Elephas maximus indicus: one gene and its partners. The protein of the gene in region 3 interacts with the protein of the main gene of each other region in a pairwise test. Links are inferred from orthologs where the notes say so. Each region holds a gene or a part of one and is shown on either strand. Other genes may lie near its edges. The genes, in order: BRMS1, GCSH and NMI.

Region 1 (11,356 bases), on a different chromosome or scaffold from region 3:
ATGCCTTTGCAGAGCCAATAGACACAGGTAAACATCCTTCTGGCACTCTTGCTTTCAGCCAGGATCCATCTGACATCAGAACGATATCCCTCGTTCCACATCCTTTACTGAATGCGGCTTGAACTCCTGGCAGTTCCTTGTCAATGTCCCGCTGCAGTCATTTTTGAATCATCTTCAGCAAAATTTTACTTGGGTGTGAAATTGATATTCTTCAATAATTTCTGCATTCGACTAGAACACCTTTCTTTGGGATGGGCACAAATATAGATCTCTTCCAGTCATTTGGCCAGGTAGCTGTCTTCCACATTTCTTGGCACAGATGAGTGAGCACCTCCAGTGTTGTATCTATTTGTTGAAACATCTCAGTTGGTATTCCGTCAATTCCTGGACCCTTGTTCTCTGTCCATGCCTTCGGTGCAGCCTGTTCTGGTGTACATAGGGTCGCAGTGAGTCAGAACCAACTTAATGGCACCTAACACCAACAAAAACAATTTCATGCTATGTGAATTTTACCTCAAATTTTTAAAAAAGATATTATAAAACAAAAAGAGAGAAAGAAGGAGAGAGACTACTTATCCTGCTTAAGTCCATGCAAAGTCAGATTCCAACTTCAGAGCCCATACTCTGCCTGCCCTGCTGCCAAGAAAAGTCTCTCCAGAGACCCCAGGGTGTCTTAAGGGAAGTCAAGCATTAACTTGTTTGGTTCAGACGAGAATTCAGTCCTTCCCCCACTTGAAGACAGAGGACTCCCTCCAGACTGAGGTGGTTCTGAAGGTTTTAGAGGGTTAGGAGCTCCAGAGCCAGGCTATGAGGGCCATGTTGCATGTAGAGAGATTGAGGAGGAAGACAGCATTATGGGAGGAGGGAGAAGAGCATGGGGCAGTGTTAAGGGTTGAATTGTGTCCTCCAAAAACGTGTGTTGGAATCCATGTGGAAAGGAGCCCTGGTGATGCAACGGTTAAGCACTCTGCTGCTAACCCAAAGGTTGGTGGTTCAAACTCACCCAGTGGCTGCCCAGGAAAAAGGCCTGGTGATCTGCTCCATAAAGGCTTACAACCAAGAAAACCCTCTGGGACACTTCTACTCTGTCACACAAGGTCACTATGAGTCGAAAATCTACTGGATGACATCCAACAACAACATCCCAGGGGATGTAATCTCATTTGACAGTAGGGTTTCTTTGTTATGTTAATGGGGTCATACCATTTTTAGGGTGTTTCTTAAGCCAATCATTTTTGGCATATGAAAGAAACAGATTAGGCACAGAAGACAGCAAGTAGAGGTGGGAAGATAGATGTCACATCACAAGAACAACAAGCAACTGTGGAGCAGAGGCTGAAAAGAGACAAGGACCTTCCACCGGAGGTGACAGAGAGAGAAGGCCTTCCCCAACAGCCGGCACCCTGAATTTGGACTTCTAGCCTCCTAAACTGTGAGAAATAAATTTTTGTTTCTTAAAGCCACCCATTTGTGGTATTTCTGTTATAGCAGCACCAGATAACTAAGACAGGTAGGTCCACTGTGAGGTCACGAGTTGAGACTGACTCGAAGACACCTAAGAACAACAAAGCCCTTGACCTGGGCAGGCATATAATAGGATCTCAGGAAATCACGAAGGCGCCCTGGTGGTGCAGTGGTTAAGCCCTCAGCTGCTAATCAAAAGATTGGCAGTCTGAACCCACCAGCTGCTCCGAGGGAGGAAGATGTGGCAGTCTGCTTCCGTGAAGATTACAGCCTTGGAAATCCTATGGGACAGCTCTACCCTGTCCTATAGGTTCACTATGAGTTGGAATCGACTCAACAGCAATGTGTTTGGTTTTTGTTTTTTTTGGGCGGGGGGCGGCTCAGGAAACCTCAGCTCATTATCCTTCACCTTGGTGAAAGTCAAGTGTCTGGGAAACTGTCTTCTACCCCTGGTGGTCCTACAGCTAAGTGCTCCTTTGCTAATCGAGAGGGGGGATGCCTGGGAAAATCTTATCCATCAAGGCAGTAAATGGGTATTGAGTGCTACCATGAAACACAAATGCTCAAGGGTCCAGGCAGACAGGGAAGTGCCAGGCTTGAGAATTTGGTAAGGAAAAGACTGTTTACAAAGGTGGAGCTCTGGACAATTGTCACCTTGCAGAACTGCAGGCCTGGCATTGCCAGATCTTCCAGGATTTTAAATCCAGAAGTTGGAAATGTGCATTTTCCGTGAAATCTTCTGACTCCCGAAAGTTAACAACTAATGTGATTCAAACTGTTATTTTTAAACACTGATCAGGCCAAAGAAAACCCATATGGGCACCACATCCAGCCCCTGAATCTCCAGTGTGCAAGGCCTGTGCTGGCAAGATCTGTGCTCACCTTTCTCCTCTCTCTTGCCACAGGTACCAGTGAAAACTCTCAAGGACAGGAGCTGTCCCATCTCAGGTGCCTAACACAGCCCCTGGCAGGGAGCAGATGTCAAGTAGGTATTATCTCACTGGGCTGCAGAATATAGGTCTCCTGGCCACTCCTCATCTCGACAATCTTCACTGACTCCCTGCTGCCTGTGGAATAGCTGGCAAACACCTCGTACTGATATTTCAGGCCCTCCCCCGTCTGTTCCAATGCACCTTCTGAAGATTCACAGCCCTTTGTCCTATATGGGAGCCCTGGCTCGGGCCGCAAAGGCCATGTGTCTAGTACATAATTATTTACATAATCGATTTGGCCTTTCAGGTCAGACCCTTCCCCACAGCCTCTTCTCTTCTAAAGATTCCATGTATCAATGAATCCACAAACGTTTATTATAGGATTTCTGGGAGAAGGGAGAGGAGACGGAGGAGTAGGCGGAATCAGTAGGCGACATAGAGTAATAATTTAAATGATCAAATATCCTTCCTAGCAAACTTCCACTCCTTCAGACAGGAGGGAACTTCTCCAATTCCTGCAGATAACACACTGAGCCTCAAGTTAGCATCGGCCAGAATCCTGGTTCTGTTCTTCTAAGTGCCACCAACTTCCGGAACCTCTTTCTAGAGAGAAAAAAAATCACACCTTTGACCGCTCCCCAGTAGGTTCAGAGACCTGGAGTGGGCAGACGCGGGAGCAGAAGTGGGAGACGCACGGCCGGCCAACAAAGAGGAGAGGGAGCCCCAGGGTAGCGCCAAGCGCAGCTCAACTCTTTTCAACTTCCTGCTTTAGACTGGTAAGATGTAGAAAATTAAGAATCACGTCTTTCGTAAAACGCGACCGACGAGGATGGGATTCGAACCCACGCGTGCAAAGCACAATGGATTAGCAGTCCATCGCCTTAACCACTCGGCCACCTCGTCCCCTACAGTGTGGCTCTCTCCACATTCTCTTATCACCCTTCTTCTCCGCGTTCTCCGAGTCCCTTCTACCCATTCTCCAGCGTAGACCCCTTAGGCTATCTACGATAAGGAGACACGGCAGAAATAAACGTTTTTTTTTGTTTTTTTTTTTCCTTTCCGCCCGCCGCAGCCGGGAATCCGGGCCATCCCTCACCAAGCTGCTGCAGAACTCTGCCACGGTTTCCCCTCCCTGACTCGGGGGCGAGCCCATCGAGGTTTCAGGACGCGCTGGGTTCAGGGGTCGCGCACGGTGGGGAGTGAGGGGGCGCGTGTCCCGGAGGACCCCTGGCGGGCCGGGAGGCGGTGGGGCGGCCGGAGCGGCAGGGGCGGCAGCAGTGGCACCGCGATCAGGAAGACTCAGTTTGCAAAGCGCGCGGACGCGGTGGCTCCTCCTCCGTCTCCGGGGCGGGCGCGCGGCCGAGGCCCGGCTGTGGGCGGTGGGCGGGGCTGCCAGGCTCGGCTGGACTCGGTTCGCCTCGGCTGCGCTCGGCACGCTGCAGTAAATCCCGGCTCCCCGCGGCCGGCAGACGCTGCGGTCGGTGGTCCCTGCTACGCACTCTGAGCCCCGAGAGCCATGCAGATGCCCTACGCCATCCGGTGCGCCTTCTACCAGCTGCTTCTGGCCGCCCTCATGCTCGTGGCGATGCTGCAGCTGCTCTACCTGTCGCTGCTGTCTGGGCTGCACGGACAGGAGGAACAAGACCAGTATTTCGAGTTCTTCCCCCCGTCCCCGAGGTCCGTGGACCAGGTCAAGGCGCAGCTCCGCACCGCGCTGGCTTCGGGAGGCGTCCTGGACGCCAGCGGTGACTACCGCATCTACAGGAGCCTGCTGAAGACCACCATGGATCCCAACGATGTGATCCTGGCCACGCACGCCAGCGTGGACAACCTGCTGCACCTGTCCGGCCTCCTGGAGCGCTGGGAGGGCCCTATGTCTGTGTCGGTGTTCGCGGCCACCAAGGAGGAGGCGCAGCTGGCCACGGTGCTGGCTTATGCGCTGAGCAGCCACTGCCCCGACATGCGCTCCAGGGTCGCCATGCACCTGGTGTGTCCCTCGCGCTACGAGGCCGCCGTGCCCGATCCCCGGGAGCCCGGGGAGTTTGCCCTTCTGCGCTCCTGCCAGGAGGTCTTTGACAAGCTAGCCAGGGTGGCCCAACCCGGGATCAATTACGCGCTGGGCACCAACGTCTCCTACCCCAATAACCTGCTGAGAAATCTGGCTCGCGAGGGGGCCAACTACGCTCTGGTGATCGACGTGGACATGGTGCCCAGCGAGGGGCTGTGGAGAGGCCTACGGGAGCTGCTGGATCAGAGCAGACAGTGGGCGGGCACGGCGCTGGTGGTGCCTGCCTTCGAGATCCGTCGAGCCCGCCGCATGCCGGTCAGTAAGACGGAGCTGGTGCAGCTCTACCAGGTGGGCGAGGTGCGCCCCTTCTATTATGGGCTGTGCACGCCCTGCCAGGCGCCCACCAACTACTCCCGCTGGGTCAACTTGCCAGAAGAGAGCCTGCTGAGGCCTTCCTACGTGGTGCCCTGGCAGGACCCCTGGGAGCCATTCTATGTGGCTGGAGGCAAGGTGCCCCCCTTTGACGAGCGCTTTCGGCAGTACGGCTTCAATCGCATCAGTCAGGTGCCCATAAGGGGAAGGCAGGGGAGGGGGGGTTGGGGAGGGGGAGACGGAGGAGGTGGAGGGGAGGAGGGGGGAAAAGGGATGGGCGAGGGGAGTAGGTCAGGGAGATACGAGGAGTGGCCCAGTGTGGAACTGAGGCAGGGAGGCCGGGTAAGATCCCAGGTCAGGAAATGGTTGGGTGGTGTGGAAAATCCAGATGCTTCCAGAAGGTTGGGGTGCTAGAGTCTGGCTTTAGGGGTGTCGATCTGGGCCCCAGGAACGTCTCTCACTTTGCTGACCTGTCTCTCACTCCACAGGCCTGTGAGCTGCACATGGCAGGGTTCAATTTCGAGGTTTTGAACGAAGGTTTCTTAGTTCATAAGGGCTTCAAGGAAGCTTTGAAGTTCCATCCCCAAAAGGAGGCTGAAAATCAGCGCAATAAGGTCCTGTACCGCCAGTTCAGACAGGAGTTGAAGACCAAGTACCCCAACTCCCCACGCCGCTGCTGAGCCCTTCCTTCCCCCGGTCTGAGAAGTTTCAGCCTCCTGACTCCTCGGGCCGCCCCTTAGGCCTGACTGGGGTAAGAAACGTCACTCCACTTTGCAGAGGGAGCTGTGGTGTTGCAACACTGGACTTGAATATGGGGTGCTAGGATCAAGTCCTAGCTTTACCACTAACTAGCTGTGTGGCCTTGAGCAAATCCCTTTACCTCTCTGAGCCTCAGTTACTCTGTCTGTAAAAAGGGAGGTGAGAATGCCTACCTCACAGAACTGTTGGGAGGCTCAGATGAGCTGTCTATGAAAACATTCTGTAAGCTTCGTACAAATGTGAAGTATTATTAATATTATTACAGTATTATTATTGTTGTTATCACTATTGTTATTAACAACCGGGGGTGTGTGAGTGGTAGGAAAGCAAAAAATGTGAATGGGACAGGGTTGAAAGTTCAGAGACATGGGGGTACTTAACGACTGGGGCTTTCTGGAAAGAAATCAGATGAAGGTGTGGAATTTGGTTCTTAGCTTTTGGGCAGAAGCCTTAACAACTCCAGCGCCTCCACCCTTGGGGGCTCTGAAGGAGGGAAGGGTCTGAAGGCTTGATGGCGATAATCCGAAAAAATCTGTACCCTCGAATAGGCTGGTGCTGGGTATTTGCCTACTGATGACAACGTGTAAATAAATGAGTGTTCACACCCACAGCTGGTTCCGTTTCTCTCCGAAGCTGGAGGGAGGGGGGCCCTGGTTTCAGCCCTTGGACGCCGGGGGCGGTTGCTGCGCACCGAAGGGCGTGGGCAGCGAAGCGAGGAAACCACGGGGGCCTTTGCCGCAGGCCGAAGCCTAATGGGAACCTCCACCGGTTGCCATGGAGACCGGCCCGCGGTATCCCAGCATGCCTCTCCCCAGCCATCCAATTGTGAGCTCTCCGGCGGGCGCCCCGAGATGACGCACACGGAAGCGCGGCGAGGCCCCGCCTCCCTGAAAAGAGGGACCTGCGCAGCGCTTCCGGGAGCCTGGCGCCGCGGCAGGTACCGGCACCCTTGGGCGCCTCTCAGGGAGACCCGGACTTGAGGCCAGGGAGCCCCCCCCCGCGGTGCGTATCGCCCCCCCCAGCCGCTGGTTGGGTCTCTCTGGGCTAGTCGGGCGCGTCCTGCCCAACCTTCTTCTCGGGGCAGAAGCGGAGACTTAACGGGCTGGACGCGTGCGGGGCCGCGGGGCCGCGGGGCCGAAGCCGGCTGCGGGGGAGCCCGCGATTCTCCCGCCCGCGCCGGTGCAACCGGAGATGAGACGAGGCCGAGCCTCCTGGGCGCGGCGAAAGGGGCCAAAGTGGGGAGGGGCCCGCCTTCCAGGGAGGCTGCCTTCCTGGAGTTCAGAGTCGGAGAAGATAGATGGCATGCCCACCGCACTTCTCAGTTTGCTTTTCCATCCCTTAACCCTTGCCAGCTTTACAACAGTCAGAGCAGGAACGGTTATCCCCGTTTTGCACACACGTAAGAAGAGGAAGTTGTGACTTAATTTACTGCTCAGTAAAATTAGAGTTAGCTGGAGGAGACACACATACACACACCCCCTCTTTTTCTGATCCGGAAAGCCTTCTGGAAGCTGTAGGACTTAGGCTGAGACTTACGGTGAAGAGGAATTGCAGATGGAGGGAACTGCAGGAACTGAAAGAGCCCTGGTGGCGCAGTGAGACTTGGAAGTGGGAAAGATGAGAGGCTGGTTTGGAGACCCGAGAAGTGGAGGAATGAACCTTCATGTCTGCTAAGGTTTTCAGGTTCGAATCCATGGTGAAATCATTGAGGAATGTGACTAAACTCTCCCCTAGGCCAGGCATTTGCCACAACTTGAATAGGTGTCAACCAGAGTTAACAGACACTTTGGGTTTGATTTCACTGCAAGGACCTGAAGCTACCAAGAAGTAAAAACCAACCTTTGACCTGCAAGAGTTTGTTTTGTTTACTTATATTTCCCAGTCCTTTATCAAGGGAGCCAGTACTGGGCTAGTTGACTAAGATGTGTTTGTAGCCCCTGCCCTGGGGAGGCACACAGAGTGGCTGGGGAGACAGAAGGAAAATGAGCAAACAGAAGGGAGATGCAAAGAAGGCTTCGTGGAGGGAGTGGAGTCTACACCAATCTAAAGGGCTGCAGAGCAGTGGCCAGCGAAGCTAGAAGAGGAGCTTAGTAAAGTAGAAGCCCCCAGGAGGCAGTGAGATTCTCTGCTGGAAGGGTGGTTAAATCCCCCCCTTAGGGGCTCTCTTGGCAGGATTAGACACTGTTGTTGGCCACTTCTTCTAAAATGTTCTCTGGCCATAGCTTTGGGGTTTTTCTTTTCTGCCTCTCCCTAATTTCCTTCTCCTTTGCGGGAGTCTCCTCAGCAGCCCTTTGGTGACCCTGGGAGTTTCATCATGGACCCCTTCTCCACACTTTCTGCTTTGGTGCCATACCTTCTCCCATGGCCTGAACAACTCACTCTATGATAGTGACCAGATCTCTGTACGGCCCAGATTTCTCTCTGAGGCTTAGACCCAGGTCCCCAACCCTCCCCCACTCCCTTCTCTCATTTCTGTATCCTTACACATGCTACTCGCTCTACCTGGAATGTTCCCTCCTGTGCTAGTCAGTTCATCCATCTGCTGTGTCTCCCCTGGCAGCCCTCACTGCTGCCCCAAGCTCCTGGTCTTAGAGGCCCCTCCCCTGTGCCCCCAGGCTTAACTCTTCTCGCACCGTGGTAGTGGTCTGCTGCTTTGCCTCTTCTCCCAGGAACGTGTAAGTTCCTGGAGATAAATACTGCCTGCCTGCCCCAGGAATTCCCCTGTACCTGCCATAGTGCCTGGCAGCACCTAGCATATATTAAGTGTTCAATAAATATTCAGTGAGGGAATACAAGGACTGCTTGGCTGTGTCTGATGTTGCTGAGAAATCAATTAAGATAGCCCCCAAAAATACTGGCAGTAGCCACAAGGAGGTTGTCGGTTAACTCAGTGGGATCCGTTTCAGCAGAGAGTGATGGGTGCAGGACCAGATGGGAGCAAATGGAAGGTGAGGAAGCAGGAAGGGCAAGTGTATACAAGGCCTTGAAAGTGGAGCTGTGGCGTGGAAAGCAGTGAAGCGGAATAGGGTGAGGTTTGGTTTGTGTTTTCGCATTTTCTTAATGGTGGAAAACACCTGAGCACATCTACGGTTTCATGGGAAGGAGCCTGCCAAGGAGAGTTGAAGCTACAGAAGAGAGGGGAGTACTGATGATGTGGGGTCCCAGAGGAAGCAGAAAATGAGAAGTGAGAGAAGGGATGGGGGGAGGGAAGGGGACCTGGGTCTAAGCCCCGGTGAAATCGCCCGCACAGAGATCTGGTCACCATCACAGGGCGAGTTGTTCAGGCCATGGAAGAGGGTGCAAACACCAAGGCAGACAGTGTGGAGTGAGAAGGGGTACATGCTGGAACTCCCAGCGTCACCAAAGGGGCTGCTGAGATACAGCCTTTGAGGAGATCTCTGCAAAGGAGAAGGAAATAACTGAGCAGAGCACGAAGACAGAGAAATGTAGAAAGCTATCAGGAAGAGAAGAGGAGTGCACGATGGGCAGAGGAGGAGGGAGAACGTGGTGTCTTTGAGGACTCACCAGTGCATGGTTGGGGCCAAGGAGCTGGGTGGGTGGTTTAGTCCAGTCTGGGAAGGGCCTTGAAAGCCTCCACTAGAAGTTTAAGCCGAGTCCCATAGGCAGGGGGAGCCCTCGGGGGCTTCTGAAAGGGAAAGAGCGCTCACGCAGAGCCCTGCTGGTTCCTGGCCTCTTGAAGAACTTACCTCGTCCTCATACCACTTCCACAGGGAGGTCACAGGCAGAGCAACTGTGGATCCTCAGGGCCACACTTACTGTTGTACCTGCAGTGTTTTCCACCTCCCTATGCCTGCTCTCATAGTGCCATCACAGCCCACCCAGCCTTTTCTGGGGGTGGGACGTTTGGGTGGTAACGCCTCGTGTCGTTGGCCTTTCCCGTTCTGTGAACTGGTGCTTGGCCAGTTCGCCCAGGATTGGGATCGCCAACGGGGTCAGAGGGCATGAGCGTTTCCATGGCTCCCACGCTCCTGGGGGAGATGTGCACCCGGAGCCATTTGCTCCCTTTCACCCAGCATGCGTCAGGGTGGCGAGGACAGTCACCTCCCTGCTGTCCCCTCTAATTGAGGGTCAGGCTGGGCTCGACTCCCTGCTCGGCCACTCAGCTCTGTACCATGGCCAGTGTTGAGTGATGGCTCCACCTGTTCTCCCAGAGCACAAATGCCCGTCCAGCCCCCAAGCAAGGACACAGAAGAGATGGAAGCAGAGGGCGACTCAGCGGCCGAGATGAACGGGGAGGAGGAAGAGAGTGAGGAGGAACGGAGTGGCAGTCAGACAGAGTCTGAGGAGGAGAGCTCCGGTGAGTGTACACACACATGTGCACACACACTTGTACACACCAATGCGCACGCACACGTGGTACCCGCCCGCTCCTCGTCAGAGGCCCTGACTGGCCTCTTGTCCCCAGAGATGGATGATGAGGACTATGAGCGACGTCGCAGCGAGTGCGTCAGTGAGATGCTAGACCTGGAGAAGCAGTTCTCGGAGCTGAAGGAGAAGTGAGCGGGCACACCTAGGGCTGGTCTTCACGGTCCTGGGGGAGGAGGCAGTAGGCTGGGTGTTGGCGGGCGGCTGAGGTCCAGAGTGAGTGAGCACCTGACCAGGGCCTGCCACGGAGCTGGGGCCCTGCGTGTATCTGCCCAAGAGCACAACGGACCGACAAGTTGGGGCTGCCTTTCACCTCCCAGGTTGTTTAGGGAGCGACTGAGCCAGCTGCGGTGGCGGCTGGAGGAAGTGGGAGCTGAGAGAGCCCCCGAGTACACGGAGCCTCTGGGGGGGCTGCAACGGAGCCTCAAGATTCGCATTCAGGTGGCAGGTGTGTGGGCTGTCCCGTGTCCTGGGGTCAGGCCCCAGTCACCCCTTGTGTCCCCCTCCTCATCCCTGCCTGCCCTGTACTCCCAGCCCTCCTCGGATACCTCAACCGCTGCCTTAGGGGGGCCCCCTTCTCCCTCTTCCACAGGCATCTACAAGGGCTTCTGTCTGGACGTGATCAGGAATAAGTATGAGTGTGAGCTGCAGGGAGCCAAGCAGCACCTGGAGGTGAGGGGCTGGGCGCCTGCAGAGGGGTGTGGGCAGGGCCTGAGGGGCCCCACCCGACTGAGCTGCTCCGGCCTCCTTCAGAGCGAGAAGCTGCTGCTGTACGACACCCTGCAGGGGGAGCTGCAGGAGCGGATCCAGAGGCTGGAAGAGGACCGCCAGAGCCTGGACATCAGCTCGGGTGAGGCGCTCTGCCAGTGCCCAGCACTCCTCTGCACGTAGCTGCCCTGACTGCACATGGGTGCAGTCATTGGCCCTGCTCCTTGAGGTCGCCAAGAGGACTGACTGAGAGCAGGCATGGAAGGGCCCAGCCCAGGGCCAGGCATGCAGTGAGGGGTTGGGCAGAGTGGGCCCCATGCCCTCCTGTCCCTGCTCTCTCCCCAGAACGGGAGGTGCGGGCCGGTACGCCCACATATGGTCACCACAGTCCGCTCCGTGTCCACAGCACCTATGTTCCTTCTTCATGTCAGTTGCTCTGCCAAGAGGCTACTGTGGAGTCCTCAGGAGGCAGCAGCTGTTATCATCACCCTGTCATCCCCCCCATCACCCTCCCCCATCTGCTGAACAAAGGAAGCACCTGGGGCTCACAGCAGTGCAGTGCCCTTTCCCATGGTGCACAGCTGTGCAGTCCGGACCTGAACTCAGGCTTCCCAGCTCAGCCCAGAGTTCTTTGCCCCAGGGGAGGGGAGGACAAAGGCAGTGAGGGTGGGGGGCACCCTTGAGGGCTGGCACCCTGACCCTGCCTCTGGGGCACAGAGTGGTGGGA
Region 2 (10,791 bases), on a different chromosome or scaffold from region 3:
ACCTTATACTGGTACATAGGTACATAAATATGACAATGAAGACATCAGTGTCTCAAGTCCTAATAATCCAACATATCTGAGGAATATTATACACATAGTACTGTCAGTAATATCCCGTTCCCTTTCCCTGCCCCACCAAACATACATCCAGTGGAAAATCCAATTTTTAAACTTTGCTGCTATTTGTTTCTAATTTTCTTTTAAATATCTCAATATGGCGTCAGTGGGAATAGGGAAATTAATAAAGAAAAGATAGAATATATAATTGGCTTTGTGTAACCTGTGCCAATCTAGGTTTTTCCTCTTCTTCATGTCCCCCTGGTCATGTGTGTATCACCACACCCACAAAAGACTGTCAACACCCTAGTCCTTTGCTTGTTGTTTTTCTTCGCCCTTCCGTAACTGCCCCCATATGAAACAAACATTTATGAATAAAGTACGTCCCCTACCTTAATTTTAAGTGTCAACCTTTAAACATCCTTTAAAACACCACACATTTACCTAACTAATTTGATTTTACTTGTTTCACCTGTGATTGCTTTTTATCCTAAGGGCCCTTCATGGGAAAAGGGCCAGAAGTGGTAAAGGCAGAATAAACAAAATGTTAAAAGTTAGAGACAATCCAATTTAACAAGAGCAGACTGTCACAAATATCTCAAGACAATTCAATACCTGTGCAAAATTGCTGATTCCCACTGTTCCAATACCATTTTCTGTTGTTACCCATTCATGTTTGTCTGTGAATTTACGCACTAAAAGAGAAGACCAATATTTCAGAAAAGCAGTGGCATCGCTTCTTAAAACACTTTTCCCATCAGTGTTGTCAAAAGGCAAGACTTTCCCAATATTTGTGTTTGACTTATTGATGTTGACTTTAAAGAGCACACTGCCCAGGAAGCAACCGAGATCACGTGAAAAGAGCAAATCTCAACACTGATATGTTAAGCAAAAACAGCGTGATTTGTACACCATCTGGAGATTTGATTATTTGCTCTAACATTTCTTAGTCTAAATCACCCCCCACCCACACACACACAAAAATGGAGCACATTTCAGATATGTACTTATTATTGGTCTCTCTTACAGAAACATGGTTTCTCAAACAACTCTCCCGTCTGACAACAGACTTGGAGTGATGCAGTTTTGCGTATAAAAGGCAAATGTGCTTCTTTAGGTAGAACAGACCTAAGAGAGGTTCACTGCAACTGGGTTATAAAGTGCAATTTCACAGGAATGAAACTGACAAAATTCTTAAATATTATTTTAATCTAATCTGCCCTTGAAGAGAATGGCTACCATCATTTAAAGAAGCAAGCTGTAAAATCAGAACACTCACCGCCCATCTAGAGTTGTACTTAACACACTGCATTGAAATAGTCCATCTATCAGTTTCTTTCACGAAGTAGACTATAAGTACAGTGTGAGCAAGACCAGATTCTAACTCATTTCCATTTGTATTCCTAGTTCTAAATACAGTGCTTGGCACATGGTAGGCATTCAAAAGCTGAAGGAATGAAATAATTTTTTTTTTTTTTAATTTGTCAGGTAAAGGGGATTCTGAGCAAAATACCTATTATGGTTGTTCAGCTGTAACACACAGTTCTCCCTATCATTCTGTTACAACTCTAAACAGTTGCCACCAAGTCAGTTCCAACTCTAAACAGTTGCCACCAAGTCAGTTCCAACTCACAGTAACCTCATGTGTGTCAGAAAACCGCGCACCATGTTTTCAATGGCTGATTTTTTTCAAAGTAGATCACCTGGCCTTTCTCCCAAGGAGTATCTGGGTGGGCTTAAACCTCCAACCATTCAGTCAGCAGCCAAGTACATTAATCATTCGCACCACCCAGGAACTCCGCTACAACTCTAGAACTGGTTAACTGTATTACCAGTTATGAGCAACTGAACACTAATGTCGTTTTAAAGCAAGGGCCGGACAATTGTAAACAGCTAACCCATCGAAGTCTACTCTCTTGACTTTGGCTTTGCCATCTTGCCTAACTGCAAACATAACATTAAGGAGTAGGGTTGTTCTGACACTCAATTTAGTAACTGAGTGACAAGGTTAGAGGAAAAGGCAGGAACATTACTAAGCTAAAATGCGCCCAGTCCCACTGGACTTCAAAGTCCTTAGTCTTTTTACTACATCATGCTATTCAGGCTAAGAAAATGATTAGTTCAATTCTCCTTTAAGCCTTGGTCCACCAGGGAAAAAAAGTAGATAGGAGATGAGGTTAATTATTACTTCCTTACCACACTTTGAAATATACGGTTCTTGGCTTCAGAAAATTAGTTTTGAATGATTTATGAAATTTTTACATTTTCTTCCAAAGTCACTGGTCAGATAAAATGTTTTATATTAACATTGATAAGAATTTTTTACTATTATATGCCTTATACTACCGTTTAATAACAAGAAATATTTATCAAGTGCCCGTGTCTCAAGCTATACGTACAGCAGTTACATCATTTCATTTCATCCTCCCATCAACTCTGTGAGGTAGGTATTATCACCTCCATTTTTCTAGTGAAGAGAAACTGAGGCTCTAGAAGTTAAGTGATGTGTCCAAAATCCCATATCTCCTAAGAGGTAGAACTAGAACTAGTGCTGGGTCTAGCTATTAAAAACCAAGGTGCTTTTTTGGGGGGGGGGGTGTTGGGAGACTCTGGTAGTACAGTGGTTAAGAGCTATGGCTGCTAACCAAAAGGTTGGCAGTTCAAATTCACGATGTGCTCCTTGGAAACTCCATGGGGCAGTTCTACTCTGTCCTATAGGTCATTATAAGTTGGAATCGACTCGACAGCAACAGGTTTGAGTTTTTGTTGTTTCGTTCTTTTTAGTTTTTGTTGTTTCGTTCTTTTTTAAAGGAATGGATAACGCTGGGTTTGATCTAGATGTGGAGGGGGTTTGCCACAATGAACATTATTGGAGTAATTAGCAGTACCTGAGTATGGGCTATATTAGATAAGAAACCAATGCTACATTTTTAACCTTGACAACATAACTGCAGTTATGTAAGAGAATATCCTTGTTCTTAAGATTCACTGAATATTTAAGGATAAAAGATCATGATGTGTGTGGTTTGTATGGGTATATCTATCAAGAGAGAAAAACAGATGACGCAAAATGTTAATGATTGTTGAATGAATTTTCAATTATGACAGTTCTTTGTATTCTTGTAACTTTTTAAGTCTGAAATCATTCTGAAACTAAACAAACAAAAAAAAAAACCTTAGGTGCTTAACCAAATAAAGGGTATTGATGTTTGGGGCAATATTTAACTAGATAAGTAGAAAATGCAAACAGCTAGAGATAATGTAACGTTAACAAAAAAAGCAGGCTTAAATTCAGTTTTTATCTTAGAAATGTTTTACCCTTGTATTCAAATTGGTAATGCATTGATACACATCACATAGTTGAGGGAATGGGGAGCTAATCTTCATGCTTCCGTGTTTGGAATAAATGTCAACTCTTTTAGTCCCAAATGAATTTCTAAAACAATCAGTTAATGAGAAAACAGCCATCACAGATATAGGCCTCCTAAGAAGCCTTATAAGGCGTGATGAGTGTCACGAATATTTGGGCATAAAGTAAAATTGTTTTTTCCCTGTGATAACTGTGCACAAGTAGCACTGGTGCAAAAACACCGACAGGCGAGTCTCCCCCGTTAGTTCAAGTCCGTTTAAGCTAGGCCTCATTTCAGCCCCAACAGACAGCACCGACTCAGTAAGACTTCAGCAGAACGTCTTCGGTAGAGTCCAGCCGACTTTAGCCTATTCTTTAGGAAACAGTGGCGTCTAGAACGTTATGCTCGCTTTAGCTAGCAAAACTCTGGATCCAGTGCTTTGATTTTGCTGTTTTTGCTTTAACTTTGCTCAGAGTTGTCATGTCTGGTTCCTTTAGTGAACTAAGTCTCCAGTGTTTCCACGTCCAGGTTCTCAGGATGCACACAAACAATGCGAGAGGAACTACCGTCACCTCGGAGCGTAGCGGTGCGGGGTCCTGGTCGCTGGCGGCGAGCGGCCGGCTCACCTGCCCGAGTCGGACTAGGCGCCTCTGCCCGCCGGGCTCCAGTGTGGTCCGCCTCCACCCAACCCAAAGCACAAAGGTGGACTGTGCCTTCCCACGTCGAGTTGAGGAGAGGCGCCGGCCGCCTAACTCTGGGGATCCCCGCACTAGGCAACAGCGTGGAAACAACGTGAGCCGGGCGCGACCAGCTCCCCATCGCTCCTCCCGGCCCCTCCAAGCCTGCCCGGCAGCCCACGTGCGGCCGTAGGTCCCGCGGAGCCCGCCCCCGCCCGCGCTTACCCGAGAGCAGAGCGCGGCCCGTGCGCAGCGTCCGCACGTCGCCGGGCCTGGGCCCCCAGGGCCGGGGCGGGCAGAGAGCGCAGGGCGCCGAGAGCGCGCGCAGGCTGCAGGCTGCGGCCCGCACGCCCCGGGCCGCTTGCAGCGCCATGTTCGCAGAGTGCGCAGGGTCGCGGCGCAGGACTCAGGCTCCCGGCGGCGGGGCGGGGCGGGGCGGGGCGACGCGGCCCCTGGCTGGAACGAGCCGGCTGGATCGCCGCGCGGGGCGGGACCCGGCGGGCTGAGGCCGATAGGTCCGTACGCGAGGGGCGCGGACTCCGGGGCCGGGAGCGGTCCCGGATAGGGCGATGTGCGGGGGGCCGTGCACATGGGGCGGGGCCTGAGGCCCGGGTGAGGCGACGGGCGGGGGGCGGGGCAAGCGCGAGACGGGGGGCCGGGCGAGGCCGCTCGGGGCGGGGCTTAGCGTCCAGGGGCGGGGCCCTGGCCTAGGGCCACCCTGGGCAAGTAGGAAGTGCTTAGTCAGCAGCTCGGGGCTCCGTGTGCTTTAAGGGCTCCGCACCTGCGGTGAGAAAGGCTCAAGGCGGAGTGGCTGGGCCACTCCTGCGCGATGCCGAGCCGTTGAGCCCTGGGTCCTGGGGAAGTCAGGGCCCCTCCAGTCCTGTTAAAGGATGCAGTCCCCACCTTCAACAGAGGATCAGGGTCACCCAGAGCAGGATTCATAGGTCCAACCAGAATCATTGCAGCTCAGAGATGGGTTTTGGGAGTTGGCCAAAGCCGCGCTCACACTTCTAGTCTAAAAGAAGTCTAAGTTTGTTTTAGACCTTTGAAAAACTGAAAATAGTCCTGGAACCCCCTTTATTACTTAACAGACTGCAATGTGCTCACACACCCTAAACAGGGGACAGACAGAATCGTGAAGATCACAGAGGGAAAGGACTTGTCTTAGGGTCAAAAGTGACTTCTTGGTGAAGACTGAACCACAGCCAGTCAGCTACTGCAGGAGTGTCCAGAAGCAGAGGGTTAAGACCCATCGTGGACAGTGCTTTGCTTAAGTGACTAGCACAGCAATCAAGGCCTTCCAAGAAAAGCAGAAGTCATTGCCCCCACTCAAGGAGACAAGCTGCCAGCACAGATTCTAGGAACTGGGCATGAGTCAGCAAAGAAACACCTCAGTGAAAAACAGACCTCAAGTGCTGCACTGTCAACATCACAGGTGGGCACCTTGAAGTGTGTGTGTGCGTGTTTGAGGGGGCCATGTGCTCTTGTACTGAGCTTCTGCCCAATATATAAACAAGGGATGGTGACCACATCTGTGGAGTGGCTTGCAAACACTATCATCTTCGTTTCCTGTGAGTAAATAACAGCCATGTATTGAGTTCTTACTGGGTGGCGCAAACAGTTAAGCACTCGATTACTAGCAGAAAGATTGGTGGTTCTAACCCATCTAGAAGCAACTTGGAAGACAGGTCTGGCAGTGGGCTTCAAAAGGTCACAGCCTTGAGAACTCTGTGGAGCAGTTCTACTCTGCACAGATGGGGTCACTGTGAGTTGGAATCAACTCCAAGGCACCAACAACAACTATGTGCTAGTCACTGTGCAAACATTATTTTTTAATCCTGTCCAAACCCCTTTGTGGTAGGTATTACTCTGATTTCATAGGTGAGGCAGAAAGGTTGAGTAACTTGCCCAGGAATGTGATGGAGAAAGTATTTTATAGCTTAAGCAGCCAGTAGGTGGCAGAGGTGGGATTTGACCAGTAGCTTGACAGATTCACAAGCGAATGCCCTTAAGGTATGTAATACTTCCCTCCTTTTGGGATGCTGACTGGTTCACACTGGTCTAAACTCCTGATCTTGGCTAGCTTCTATAATAATCAATATTCTGATTTTATTGTTGCTTTGATATCATGCAAGTCAATGTAGCATAATGTAACCTATGCCCTAAAATAAATATTTATTCCCAACTCCACCAGCTCATTTGGTGGAAAGAACAAGACCACATATAAATCTGTAGGCTACATTACAGACCCTTCCGCAAAAAAAAAAAAAAAAAGAACTGTGTCATGTTTTTTATTTAATGAGCATTGAGGATAGTCAGAAATTCTTTTTTTTTCCCTCTTCAACCTGGTAATCCTTGTAACATCATCCATAGCTTGAGTTTGAAAGATCTTCTCATTGCACATTTGATATAGGCACCTACAGGTTGCATTTGGTCACTTCTTCCAGGTGTCTCAGAAGGAGCCAGCTCATCTCTTTGAGCTGTTTTTTTTTTTCTCTCTTATAACAATAACACTGAAAGGAGTTGCTAGTTTGATATTTACAGTCAACGGGGAAGTAGAGAGTAGAAGAGAAAGAGGGAAGGAAGAGGTGAAGAACTTATAACTTCTTGAGATATGAGTTAGCACTTTCCCTATTTAAAACAAATACACTGTATGTATCAGAGTGAGCTTGTGTACCAGTCTGTCAGGAGATATGTGTACCCCTCAAAATGGGTTATTTGGTGAGCATCTCTGTATACATAGCTCATGTTCTTACCTGATACAGTAAAGAATGGATGATGGGCATTTGGATGCAGAGAAGTTGATTAAATCTCCCAAGGCTTTGTGTATATGTTACATGGGTCTATGTTTATAAAGAATCCTGGGCCTGTAGGTTTGTGGGTTTTGGTTATCAGGTTGTAGGGTGTGGTAGTGTGGGATCATGATCAACTGTCATTAAAAGACATTTGTGATCTTATCCAGCTAGAAGACTGGCAGTTGTTCAGTTATAGGACTGATTATGTCAACTGTTTAAAGACCTTACCAAGCACCCAAAAATCAGCCAGTGAAAATCCTATGGATCACAACAGTCTGATCCACAACTGATCATGGGTATTGTGCAGGACGGGGCAGTGTTTCTTTCCATTGTGCATGGGGTTGCCATGAGTTGGAGGCCAACTCGATGGAGCTAGCAACAATGACAACAATCAAGTACCAGTTTCCTCTCATTTCTCATCTCTGCCATCTTCAGATTGCTTCCCCATGGTCTCAAGGTAGCTGCCAAAGGTTCAGGCATTGTACCCAGACAAGACAATGTAAGAGCCCGTCACTACGTGTCTCTTTTTATTGGGAAGGAGACATTTTCCAGAAGCCCCCTAGAGAGCTCTCTCATTTTTCATGGGCCAGAACTGGGTCACATGCCTACCCTAAGCCACGTGTCGGCAAGAGTCATGGGTTACCATTTAGTGCAGTGGCTCTCACGTTTGAATCAGCTGGGGAGCTTAAAAAACTATCAATTTATTGGTCCCAGCCCGGAGATACTGATGTATCGGGATGAAACCTGGGGATTCTAGTGTGCAGCCAGAGTTGAAAACCACTTGTGTAGATCACCAGTTTTCAGAGTTCATCTAAAGAACACCAGCCCTGAGTGAGATGCTTTAAGACCTGATTCCCTGGCCAGAGAAGTCTGGGGATGAGACACACTTTTCCTCTCATGCTAATCTCCAAAAAAAACTAAGCCAAACCCATTGCCATCAAAGTTGAGTCCAACTCACTGTGACCCTCTAGAACAGAGTGGAAGTGCCCCACAGGGTTTCCAAGGTTATAAATCTTTTTGTGTGTATGTATGTGTGTGTGTGCTTTAGATAAAGGTTTACAGAGCAAACTAGTTTCTCATTAATTAATACACATATTGTTTTGTGGTGTTGGGTGCCATCCCCGTGACATGTCAACACTCTCCCCTTCTCAACCCTGGGGACCTCAAGGCTGTAAATCTTTACAGAAGCAGACCGACACATTTTTCTCCTGCGGAACGTCAAGTGGGTTTGAACTGCCAATCTTTTTGGTTAGCAGCCAAGCACTTAACCACGACACCATCAGGACTCCCCATACTCATCCCAGGAGGGAGTGTTTAAAGTTCTGACAGTTCTCATGCTAAAGAATTCCTGTAGCCTCATTTAACTTGATGTTTCTCATGTTATCTTGATTCAGATACCTTTTGGTATGTGACACTTATTAGCACCTCTCAGACACAGTTTGAGAAACCCTGAATCAGAGTCTTTCAAAGGTAACTCCTGACCAACCAAGAAGGGGAAATAATTAGTTTGTAGAGAAGATTTTTTTTACCACTAATTCTAGACAGTATTTGTTTTATTTCTAGGAGGAAATACATTTGACTCTTACAGAAATACAGACTCTCACAGTCATTGCAATTTTATATATGTGTGCATGTTTTGTGTTGATATATTTATTTATTACATGATGGGCTTGGTAACTCTTCTGTGGACACAGAAAAACATCGACCTGGAGAGATTATGGAGTTGGTGGTAAACGTAGGCCCCGGGCTCTGCGCATTCCGATGTAGATGACCGATGTGCTTAAACCTTAGGCGCAGCGTGTGCTGGTTGAGGGGGCCCAGCTTCTGTCAGCTCCCCAGACTTCTCAGTGCTGCTTTGAGGCGCCTCTCTTTTACATCTAATGCCCAGGAAACTGAGTATTTTCATCAGCAGCAAATCAGCAATCTCTCCTTCCTCTGACAGCTGCAGGAGAGAAAGAACCATGCACCGTTTATAGAACCATCCTGTTTGGAGGCTTTTCATTCTGAGGGGAAACCATGGTTTAATGTCTGGTGTGGTCACAGCGTAAGTCACTTTATGTTTTAGAGTTGCTTTTATGTTGGGATTGACCTTCCTCTGGGAATCCCAAGAGTTGCAATTGAGTTGACTGTGACTCACGGAGATCCCATGTGTGTCAGAGTAGAACTGTACTCCATAGGGTTTTCAATTTTTCTGTAAGCAGGTTGCCAGGCCTTTCTTCCGAGGCACCTCTGAGTGGACTCAAACCCCCAACCTTTCATTTAGCAGCCCAGTGCACTGGCCATTTGTACCACCCAAGGATTTCTAAAGGGTATACATCCTCCTTTATCCCCAATGGATTTCCTCTTTCTCTCCACTGAAGATGCCATGGTTTCCTGGCAGCATTTTAAATTTCCAAGTTAGAACTGAGAAAGCCTCAGCTGTTACTGAACATGAACTTAAGCAGCACTTGCAGCATACAAACCTTTTTTTTTTTAAATTGTGGTAAAATATAGGTAACAAAATATTTGCTATTTCAACCATTTTTTACATGTGCAATGATTTTTTTTTAAATACCTGTGTCTGAATCACACTCCCAAAGATTCTGTTTTTGTTGGTCTCTGGTGTGGCAGGAGCAGCAGTAGTTGCCAAAAGCTCCCAAGTGATTCTAACATGCAATCGCTGAGAATCACTGTGTAGTGAACAGAGTTCTGCATTGGATAGGAGGCCCAGGTTCTAGTCTCAGCTCTGCTTTCACTTGCTTGTTGTCTTAAATTATTTCCTCCTCTGGGCCTCAGGCTTCCCTCCTATGAAATGAGGGCTTTGAGCTACACTGTCTATTTAAACCCACTTGTGTTGAAGTGAGGCAGTGGAGGTTCAGTGGTAGAATTCTCGCCTTCCATGGGGGAGACGTAGGCTCTTTTCCCGGCCAGTGCACCTCATGGGCAGTCACCACTTGTCTGTCAGTGTAGGCTTGCATCTTGCTGTGATGCTGAACAGGTATCAGCAGAGCTTCCAGACTAAGACGAACTAGGAAGAAAGGCTTGGCGATCTACTTCCAAAACCCCTCTGGACCGAAATAGTCCAATCCACAACCAATTATGGGGATGGCACAGGACTGAGCACCATTTCATTCCACTGGACGTGGAGTCACCATTGAGTCAAAGACCAACTGGATGGCAGCTAACGACAAGTGTTTAAATATCCAGAAAGCTCTGTTCAGGTGAGAGTGAAGGAATGCTCAGAGGAAGAGCTATCTCCCCTCCCACCCTCCACCCCTGCAAACCTCTGCCCCATTCCTGGGCACCACTAGAATGACTTCAGCCAGTTCAAGGTCTTTGACTATTGAAGAACAGGCCAAAGGGACTCACCTGATGATATTTTTGCTCCTCACTGAAGGCCACCAGGATAACAGAGATAAATAGATTCAATACCACGAATGTCATGAACACAATGCAGGACCCAACCAGGAAGGAGCCAAGCACTGGGCTATCGTCCAGAACCTGCCAGGAGGAAAGCCAGTCATCCCTTGGTGCCCCAGGGTCCTATCTGCCACCACCCCCACTAGGCAGCCTCAGAGGGGAAAACTGGTTCCTGGAGCTGGGCCGAGCCTGCAACCAGGAAGGTTCCCTTCTGCCCTTAGGGCTGAGAGTCCAGGTGGTTCTCTCAAGAGGGGAGCGAAAGGGCAGCACCCCCTTCTCCCCACTCTGCCAACTACAAAGTCAGGACACTGTGTCTGGCTAGGGCCAAGAACAGTTCCCTTCTGGGGACCCCCAGCATGGCCCTCCCCTGAGTAGCAAGTGGCTAGCTGTTCTTTGGTATTCAGAGGTCTGCTCCCCCCACCCCCGCCAGGGGGAGCCAGGCGCCCTAGCATGGGGCTGTCTGCGTGGGGGAAAGGGAAGGGTTTTATTTGTCCAAAGTTGCTCTGTGCTTGC
Region 3 (10,511 bases):
TCATAGCCTGTGACCAAGAGCCCTGCTCACTGACCTGCCGATCTTGGGTTCACCAGCCCCTGGGGCTATTAGAATCAGGAGAAGCTTCTATAATCTCGTTAGCCATTTCCTTGTTATAAATCTCTTTCTCTAAATACATATATTTATACGCTTTACTGGTTTTGCTTCTCTAGAGAACCCAGCCTAAGACAGTTAGTTATAAAATTTTGCAACAGGAAAAAAACGGAATGTACTTTCAATGTAAAAACTGGGTGTAGTGTATTTTATCTAATAAATTCCTACTGAAAACTACTCAATGAAAACCAAAAAAACTCACTACTGTCAAGTTTATTCTGACTCATAGTGACCCTAAAGGACAGAGTAGAATTCCCCCAAAAGGTTTCCAAGAAGCAGCTGGTAGATTCGAACCACCAACCTTTCGGTTAGCAGCTGAGCTCTTAACCACTGTGCCAGCAGAGCTCCCCTGGAATGCATTAGAAAGTTCAAAAGTAAATTAGCATAGAGTTTTAGCCTTGTAGGTATTATATTGATACATGTAAGCTGGGCTTATGAAAAATGTCTTTGTTGTTATATCTAGCTACAAGGATATTTTTATAGGCAGTCATTTTGATGTCACCCCTCTGACAATGTCACTTCGTATGGTCTGCACCCCTACCCCCTCCCCTGCGTTCCCCTAATGATGACACTGAGTATTACTGATTATTATATATTGGTAGCCTATATACTCCCCTTCTCAAGGAAATGCTCAATATACCCAAGGACAGCCTTGGTCCAAAGATAACACTCTTCAGCTTTACATATAGTTCGATAGCCATAGGCAAGATTTTGAATTTCCTTCCATACCCTTTTCTCCCTTGATTAATAAACCAAACCTATTATCCTCGAGTTGATTCCTACTCATAGTGACCCTATAGGACAGAGTAGAACTGCCTCGTAGAGTTTCCAAGGCTATAAATCTTTATGGAAGCAGACTGCCACACCTCTCTCCCACAGAGTGCCTGGAGGCTTTGAGCCACCAACCTTTTGATTATCAGCTGAGCTCTTAACCACTGCACCACCAGGGCTCCATTAATACTTAGCACTAAATTCCAGATAACAAAGGTAAATGAAGGACTTGGATTCATCACCTTATCCATTAAAGCCCTTATTCCCTCATTCAGTTCATCCCATCCCACAGCAAACCTCCAAAACAATCTCAAATTAGCACGCCTTCCCTTTCTCCATTGCCACCACCCCCATCCCTGCCACTATCAATTCTCCCTGGACAATGGCAACGGCCTCCTTACAGATGGTTCTGCTACTCCTCTTTCCCCACTACAATTATTCTCTGTACAGAGTTCAAAAAGATCTTTTAAAAACATAACTTAGATCATGTTATCCCGAGTAGTGTGAACAATAAAGGCTCTCAGCTGAAGCTGCAAACTGAAAGATTGGTGGTTTGAGTCTACTCAGAGGCACCTTGAAAGAAAATCCTGGTGATCTACTTCTGAAAAACCATCCCCAGAAAACCCTGTGGAGCACAGTTCTACTTTGAACACATGGGTCGCCCTGAGTCAGAATCAAGTCAAAGACAACTGGTAGTATGCAGACGTGGAGAAGAAATTGACAGAGCAGAGTTTTGGACAAAGTAACAAGGGATGAGATCTCTCCGGGACAGAGGAAAAAGGATTAGCTTGGGACAGAGGAGGGGCACCTTTTCTCTAAAATGAGGAATATCGAAATAAATTAAACTCCTTTTTAAAAGTAAAAGGCAAGCTGAGATCCATTTAAAGCAAAAGGCTCTAAACTCCTATAGTGTCACTAGCCAGGTAGATAGAAAAACATCTGGATTGGCAGCCTTGCATTAGGCCATAGGTTCTGGGGCAAGCTAGACTATACATTGCCTAAAGACATTCACATTCCAAAAATTTTAAATCATTGTGGTGGCCAGACAAGACATATGTGAAAGCCAGATTCAGCTGCTGCCTTGGGCCACGTTTACAAGCCTGACTTAATGAAATATGCTGTTTATGTTAAACGTGGTGATGTTTGGCAAATCAGGTTTCTCCACTCGAAAAATGTTAATTTTATAATTACTGAGATTCAATGATGCAGCTTGTAACAAAATTTTGTTCACTGGGAGCACTGAGTCATATATTAAACTCACTGATGCATTCAGATACGTAATAATTGCTACAGAAATCATTAGCAAGGACGTTCGTTCATAATTTTTTAGAAGAAAGTCCTCACGCAGGGACCAGGGTAGAAAAAGAAAAATAGAAAAAGCTTAGATCCTAGCTCTGTCCGCTGAGACGGCCTAGATGCAGTAACACCCCACAGTAATGAGGAAAAAAAAAAAGTTTAGAATACTTGTAGGACAGAAATTAATAAAAGAAACTTAACAGAGCTGTGTAAAAGTTGAAGCCCTGGTGGTGCAATGGTTAAGAGCTATGGCTGCTAAACAAAAAAAAGTTCAGCAGTTGGAATCCACCGGCTGCTCCTTGGAAACCCTATGGGGCGTTTCTACTCTGTCCTATAGGGTTGCTATGAATTGGAATCAACTCAACAGCAACGGATTTTTACGAGTATAAAAGTTTTATTGAAGAACAATGGGGGCCAACTTAACATAAAAAAAAAAAAAAATGGAGATCAGAAATTTCTAGTGGCACCAAACGTCATGATTGTTCTCCCGTTTTAGCAGTGCCCAGTGTCACAGAAAACAGTGATCTGCATTTATGTTGGATTAGGGAGTTTCAGGTGTAGGAATGAAGAAGAATAAGAACCCAAGAGTCCACAACTAATCTTCGATGGTCAATAATGAAGATAGATAAATGTAACTAGAGAAAAAAAATCACACACATAACTGTGGTAGCCAGCCTCTAATATGGTGCTCAGTGACCCCTCCCCCTTGGTATTCCCTCCTGTATTGAGCCCCCCTCACATTGTACCAGGATTGATCTGTGTGGCCAATAGCATACAGCAGAAGTAATGGTTGTTTCTTCTGAGATTGTTATAAAAGATAGTGGCATACAACTTGGGCGCTCCCTCCCTTGCTTGCTCTCTGTCTTGGATCTTTCACTCTAGAGGAAGCCACCTGCCATGTTGTAATGATACTCAGGCAGCCTATGAAAAAGCTCACCTGGCAAGAAATGGAGGCCTCTACTCAACAACCAGTGAAAAACTGAGGCCTGCCAAAACCACATGAGTGAGCTTGGAAGCAGATTCCCCAGCCCTAGTCAGGCTTTGAGATGACTACAGTCCTGGCCATCAGCTTGACTGTGACCTCTTGAGAGAACCTGAGACAGAACCACCTAACAAATATGCATTTCCAAATTCTTGACCCACAGAAGCTGCTAAATTTATGGTAATTTTTTTTTTTTTTTTAATAGCAATAGATGGCTAATATAAACATGGAAACTGCGGACTGGGGGAAAGGAAGTCCCTTGCCTAAAAATATTACAAGCCTGAGTTTCGAAGCTTTGATTGAATTTTCATAGAACTCGGAATGGTGTAGGAGTCCCTGGGTGGCACAGATACTTAAGTGCTTGATTACTAACTGAAAGGCTGGCAGTTTGAACTCACCCAGAGTTGCCTTGCTATCTACTTCCAAAAAATCACAGCTTTGAAAACCCTATGGAGTACAGCTCTACTCTGACACTTGTGGGATCACCATGAGTCAGAATCAACTCAACCGCAACTGGTTTAGGAATGATATGTGTGACTCAAAATGGCAAAAGAAAAAAAAAGGGGGCAACGCTGTTTCTTACTCCAAAAATTGTAGACTGAGATGGGGGGAGGGGACAGAGGGGAGAGACACACAAAATGGACTAACATTGACCTGGGACATAATGTGCATTACGAAAGAAGTGACTCTACTTATTATAGGCTCCACTTAGGAAAATGCTTTTTTCCTTCCTTATGACCTCATGTGAAGCTACAATGAGACAACACCCTTAAGGGTCTTAGAAGCCCATTTGTCTAGCTGAGGTTCTACTAGACATTATCTTAAACTTTTCATAGATCTTAACAAGGAGTCTTAAGAGTCCCTCGGTGGTACAAGGGGTTAAACTGCTCAGCTGGTACAAAAGGTTGAAGGTTCAAGTCCATCCAGAAGTGCCTCAGAAGAGAGGCCTGGTGATCTGATTCCAAAAAAAAAACAGCATTGAAAACCATATGGAGCACAGTTCTACTCTGACACACAAAGGGTCGCCGTGAGTGGGAATGACTGGACTGCAGCTTTTTTTTTCTAAACAAGGGATCTTGTAGGCACCCCTGATTTGGTCTTTACACTTTCTTACCTTGAAATTTTTTTGCCTTATAGAAAATCTAGGAGTGAGAAAGTGTGGTATTTTTCAACCCAGCAAGCCCTGGGTAGTCCATACTTCCTCTTTATTCTGCTTGCAAGGAGAATAGCTCCTTCTTTAGGTCATCTCTCTTTTACAATACCTTTTCATATTCAGCTAAAAGAAGCCATTTGGCACCTTCAATATTCTCATTAGCCAGTTCCAGTTTTATTCCAAGTTATAGCAGGTGACATTTTCACTCATGTTTTCACTACTATATGGTGGCACCTTTTGCCCTTTTCCCAGCCTTCATAGCAATTTTCCTCACTATTCTTCCAGCCTCCATTAGTAGTCTTCTTGCTTCCTTTCTAGCCTGAGTCTGCTGCCTGATCCAAACCCAATGCTTTAAATTTGTGTGGCAACAGCACCCACATTTCTGTTTCAGTTATCTATTGCTGCGTAACAAACCAGCCTATTATTGTTTAGGAACTTCAAATAATAATTTTTTTTTCTCCTGATTCTACAGGTTGGCATTCTGAATGGTTCTGTGGGCCCCATCTGGGCTCTGGGCTGCTGATCTTGTAGCTGCATTCAAGTCGAAGCCAGGCTGGACTCGAAGATCCAAGATGGTCTTGCTCGCATATCTGAGACCATAGTGCCGGCTGTTGCCTGGGGAACATTGGTCTTCCATGTGGTCTGTCATTCTTCAGTAGGCTAGCCTGTGTGTCAGGGTGTCATCACAGCATCATGGTCAAGGCTGACCCAGATTCCAGACAGTGGAGACTCATTTCTTGAAGTGAGCGGCAAGGACATAGTACATAGGGATAGGACACAGAGAAGCATGATTTATTCAAGGAGCCCTAGTGGCACAGTGGTTAAGTGCTCAGCTGATAACTGAAAAGGTCAACAGCTTGAAGCCACTAGCCACTCCACAAGAGAAGGTGTGGCAGGCTACTTCCGTAAAGATTTACAGCCTTGGAAGCCCCATGGGGCGGTTCTACTGTGTCCTGTGGTGTTACTGTGAGTCGGAATTAACTTAACAGAAATGGGTAACCTTGTCATGTATTGAATTGTGTCCCCCAAAAATATCTGTCAACTTGACTAGGTCATGATTCCGTTGTATGATTGTCTACCATTTTATCTTCTGATGTAATTTCCTTATGTGTTGTAAATCCTGTCACTATGATGTAATAAGATGGATCAGTGGCAGTTATGCTGATGAAGTCTACAAGATTAGGTGGTGTCTTTAAGTCAATCTCTTTTGAGATATAAAAGAGAGAAGTGAGCAGAAAGATGTGGGAACCTCACGCCACCAAGAGGGCAGTGCCAGGAGCAGAGCGCATCCTTTGGACCTGAGGTTTTTGCGCTGGGATGCTCCCGGACCAGGGGAGGACTGATGACAAGGACCTGCCTCCAGAGCTGACAGAGAGAGAGGGCCTTCCCCTGGAGCTGACGCCCTGGATTTGGACTTCTAGTCTACTGGACTGTGAGAGAGTAGGCTTCCCTTTGTTGAAGCCATCCACTTGTGATATTTCTGTTATAGCAGCACTAGATGACTAAGACACCCCTTCAGCCCTATGCTAAATAGGCTGCTGCTGCACCTGCCATTATTGAGAAGTTGGCCACACAGCTCCCAGCCTGAAAACAACACTGGCTCTGCTGAGATTCAAGTCAGATAAATGAACACATATATGCCCATAACAACAGGGAAGCTGGAAGCTCTGTCTGATTCTTCACTGAGATGCAAGGATTTATACCATGGACGACTATCAAGATACAGAGAAAGTGTTCAAAAGATTCAGAGTACACAAATGACAAATGTATGTCACCTACCAAACCCTTTAGTAAAGTTTAAAAACATATTTTAACCTTAAGTGGTGGTGTTGCAGAGAATGAAGGAATAGGGCACTAAATAAAAGTGAAGTTTATCAATCTACTGGTGCCCAAGCAGAGGAAATTACATGCTATTTAAAGCCTGTGCCCAAGAAGACTACCAGCAAAATGAGTGGTAGGTCAATGATTGTACAACTCGAAGAATGTAATCAGTGTCACTAAATTGTACATGTAGAAACTGTTGAATTGGTTTATGTTTTACTGTGTATATTCTCAACAACAACAACAAAATAACATTTAGAAGGAAAAAAATTGAATGGTGGGTCTATGTACAACTGAAGCAGCTAAGAGAATGCAAGCTCCAGACTAAAGAAAGATAATCTGTACCCAAAAACAGGCAAAAGTAATCTGCAATGAAAGAAATCCACAGTGCTTGCCTTTGGAGGTATGAAGGATATTGACTTAATGGAGCATGAGGGAACTTTCTCAAGTGCTGGAAGTCTCCTATGTCTTGTTTTAGGTTGGTAGCCATATGGGTGGATACAATTATCAAATTTCATTGAACTGAGCACTTAAGATTTGTATATTTTGTTGTTTGTAAATTAGACATCTATTAAATAATAAAGAACAAAGAAAAAAATAAACCTCTAAAGAGTATTCTGTTCTTATTTCTTAAAAGCAATAGTTGTAGTATCAGCATTCTGAACTCTTTCAGTCAATGTTAAATAAAACATTATCATCCTAACATCATCTTCTCCCAACCCAAGAACCTACACGTGGTGCAGGAATAAATGAAAAAGATGATGAATCACCAGAGAAAAGCTATTTTTTTAAAAAAATGTAATCAGTTTGCATAAAATCATCTCTGACTCAAATGCAGGGATAGAAGGAAGGAGTTCCATTTTCTCACTAACAACAAAATAAACCTAAGATTTGTCAACTGCCGGATAGAACATAACACTATTTTTCTCAAACCTTTTTATATTAAAACAAAATTCAAAGTTACATAGCACGCAGAAGGTCTTTAAAAGGTTCTAAAAATAAAATGAGAATAAAAAAAATTTTTTTTTTAATATCTTCAAGGAATGATGTTTTATATTAGTGAAAGTTAAAAATGACTCACGCGAAAAAACTTAACAATTTCTTTTCTTTCTTCCTTTCATTTTCACCCTTCCTCTTTATCACTGTCCTCATAATTCTTGACTTCCTCAACATAAGATATTGTTGTCTATTATTTAAGGTATAGCTTTGGTGGCAGTAAAACAAAACAAAGTAATCAAACAACAACAACAAAAAGTACTAAGAGTGAATTGAACAAAATAGCAGTTAAAGTTAACTTCTCTCCCACATTACATTCTAAGCATAAAAAAAGCATAAGGGTGTGGCAACTCCACAGTGTCAAGGATCCTGACTTCCTATCACATTGCTCTGCAATCTCTGTGGTGCCTCTTTCACCCACATTTTCATCTCTACGTTCCAGAATTTGCATTCACCTATTCCTTCTTTTATTCCTTACGTTCTATCAGCCAGAAATTAGTCACAGCCATCCCTAGATGTAGGAGTGAAATCTATCACTTGGCAAGCCTCATGCCCACCCAAACATTTCATCATTAAGAAGAGTGGGAGATTTCCCTGGAGCAAAGGAGAACAAAGAACACTGAAGACTCAAGGAAGCAATTAGTCCAAAGGTCTAATGGCCCACAGGAACCACAGCCTCCTCTGACCTGAGACCAGGAGAACTAGATGATGACTGGCTACCACCAACAACCACTCTGACCTGGATCACATAGAATGTCCCAGTTAGAATGCGTAAAAAATGTAGAACAAAATTTAAAAAAAAAAAGAAAAAAAGACCAGACTTATTGGTCTAGAACAGACTGGAGGAACCCAAGAGACTTTTGCCTTAAAACACCTTCCAGCTTGGAACTGAAGATACTCCCAGAAGCCACCTTTCAGCCAAATAATGTTGTTGTTAGGTACTGTCATTAGGTGTTATTAGGTGCTATGAGTCAGTTCCTACTCATAGCGACCCTATGTAGAACAGAGCAAATCATTGCCTGGTCCTGCGCCATCTCACAATCATTGCTATGTTCCAGCCCATGGTTGCAGTCATTGTGTCAATCCATCTCGTTGGGGGTCTTTCTCTTTTTTGCTGACCCCCCTACTTTACCAAGCATGATGTCCTTCTCCAGGGACTGATCCCTCCTGTTAACAAAAGTACATGAGACAGATTCTCACCATCCTCCCTTCTAAGGAGCATTCTGGCTGTACTTCTTTCAAGACAAATTTGTTCATTCTTCTGGCAGTCCATGGTATATTCAATATTCTTCACCACTACCATAATTCAAAGGCATCAGTTTTTCTTTGGTCTTCCTTACTCAATGTCCATTTTTTGCATGATATATGAGGTGATTAAAAAATACTATGGCTTGGGTCAGGTTCACCTTAGTCTTCAAGGTGACGTCTTTGCTTTTTAACATTTTAAAGATATTTTTTGCAGCAGATTTGCCCAATGCAATGCATCGTTTGATTTCCTGACTGCTGCTTCCATGGGCGTTGATTATGGAGTCAAGTAAAGTGAAATCTTTGACAACTTCAATATTTTTTCTGTTCATCATGATGTTGTTTATTGGTCCAGTTGTGAGGATTTTTTGTTTTCTTTATGTTGAGGTGTAATCCGTACTGAAGGTTGTAGTCTTCAATCTTCATCAGTAAGTGCTCATGTCCTCTTCACTTTCAGCAACCAAGGTTTTGTCATCTACATATTGCAGGTTGCTAATGGGTCTTCCTCCAACCTTGATACCACATTCTTCTTCATATAGACACCAGTAAAGAATGTGCCTCTTAGAACAATCAACTATATGAGACCAAAAGGGCAACATTTGACCAAAGTCAAAGATGAGAAGGCTGGGAGGGAGAGGGAAATGGGGATCCCAGGGAGGAAATGGGAATTGTACTGACACATTGCAGGGACTGTAATTAATGTAAGGGAAAAATTTGTATAAGAATCTTTGATTGGAAAACTAGTTTTCTATGTAAACGTTCACCTAAAGCATAATGTTGTGTTCTAAATAAGTAAAAATAACAGGAGAACAGATGTGTTATCTTGTGTTGTTGTCGATTCTGACTCATGGCAACCTCACGTATTACAGAGTAGAACTGCTCCACAGACTTTTCTTGGCAGTAATCTTTACAGAAGCTAATTATTCTGCAGAAACCTTTTATTCTGCAGTGCTGTTGGATGGGTTTGAACTTCCAACTTTTCAGTTACCAGCCAAATGCAAACCATTTGTGCCACCCAGGGATCCAGGAGAACAGATGTTTTTGTCTTGTTCCTATGAGTCAATTCTGACTCCTAGCTACTCCACAGAACACAGTAAAACTGTTCCATGGGATTTCCTAGCCTATAATTTTTACAGGAGCAGATCGCCAGGTCTTTTTTCCTGTGGAGCCACTGGGTGGTTCAAACTGCTGACCTTTCAGTTAACAGCCAAGTGCTTAACCTTTGCTCTATCTGGGATCCTTGGGAGAACAGATACTGGAGAACAATTAGCAGACAGTGCCTCAGTTGCCTCTGATTCCCTAAAAACATAGGTGTACTTCAGATGGTACTTCATAAGGTGGATCATTCGAAAGAAAACACCATTTATATTCTGTTCACTAGAATTTTGTTGAGGATTTTTGCATCTATATTCATAAGAGATATTGGCCTGTAGTTTTCTTGTGGTGTCTTTGTCTGGTTTGGGCATCAGGGCTACGTTTGCTTCATAGAATGAATTAGGGAATATTAATTCCTTCTCTATCTTTTGGAAGAGTTTAAACAGCATTGGTGTCACTTCTTGTCTATATGTTTGGTGGAATTCACCAGTGAAGCTATCTGGTCCAGGGCTTTTTTTTTGTTGAAAGGCTTTTGATCACTGACTCCATCCTTTCACATGTTATGGATCTGTTGAGACTTTCTATTTCTTCTTGAGTCAGTTTGGGTAGGTTGCTTCCTTCTAACAATTTGTCCATTTCATTTAGATTATCCACTTTGTTGCCATACAGTTGTTCATAATATTCTGCCATAATTCTCTTTGTTTCTATTAAAAAAAAACCCACTGCCATCGAGTCGATTCCGACTCACAGCGACCCTAGAGGACAGAGTAGAACTGACCCATAGAGTTTCCAGGGAGCGTCTGGTGGATTCAAACTGCCGACATTTTGGTTAGCAGCCGTAGCACTTAACCACTATGCCACCAGAGTTTCCTTATTTCTATTGGCCGGTTACAATTTCACCTCTTTAGTTTTTTTATTTTGGTTATTTGCACCATTTCTCTTCTTTTGTAGATAAAAGTTTGTCAGTTTTATTGATCTTTTAAAAGAACCTACTTCTAGTTTTATTGATTCTATTGTTTTCAATTTTATTTATTTCTG

What was found.
Region 1: the proteins of NMI (region 3) and BRMS1 interact in binary tests that used the Homo sapiens proteins (3 or more experiments, as listed by UniProt). The link is inferred for Elephas maximus indicus from reciprocal best matches to the Homo sapiens genes NMI and BRMS1.
Region 2: the proteins of NMI (region 3) and GCSH interact in binary tests that used the Homo sapiens proteins (3 or more experiments, as listed by UniProt). The two-hybrid records come from large-scale screens. The link is inferred for Elephas maximus indicus from reciprocal best matches to the Homo sapiens genes NMI and GCSH.

Annotation. Positions count from the first base shown.
Region 1 is NC_064825.1:129,487,232-129,498,587, reverse strand, and holds the start of BRMS1 (breast cancer metastasis-suppressor 1), read left to right. Parts: upstream 1-6,408; 5' UTR 6,409-6,537; intron 6,538-9,707; 5' UTR 9,708-9,714; coding exon 9,715-9,853; intron 9,854-9,961; coding exon 9,962-10,052; intron 10,053-10,241; coding exon 10,242-10,369; intron 10,370-10,513; coding exon 10,514-10,593; intron 10,594-10,674; coding exon 10,675-10,771; intron 10,772-11,346; coding exon 11,347-11,356. Other genes in the region: B4GAT1 (beta-1,4-glucuronyltransferase 1), read left to right, coding at 3,913-4,968, 5,265-5,456. UniProt on the Homo sapiens protein: Transcriptional repressor. Down-regulates transcription activation by NF-kappa-B by promoting the deacetylation of RELA at 'Lys-310'. Promotes HDAC1 binding to promoter regions.
Region 2 is NC_064839.1:47,024,870-47,035,660, forward strand, and holds the start of GCSH (glycine cleavage system H protein, mitochondrial), read right to left. Parts: upstream 4,491-10,791; 5' UTR 4,458-4,490; coding exon 4,310-4,457; intron 753-4,309; coding exon 673-752; intron 1-672. UniProt on the Homo sapiens protein: The glycine cleavage system catalyzes the degradation of glycine. The H protein (GCSH) shuttles the methylamine group of glycine from the P protein (GLDC) to the T protein (GCST).
Region 3 is NC_064824.1:48,470,167-48,480,677, forward strand, and holds the start of NMI (N-myc-interactor), read right to left. Parts: upstream 4,966-10,511; coding exon 4,787-4,965; intron 1-4,786. UniProt on the Homo sapiens protein: Acts as a signaling pathway regulator involved in innate immune system response.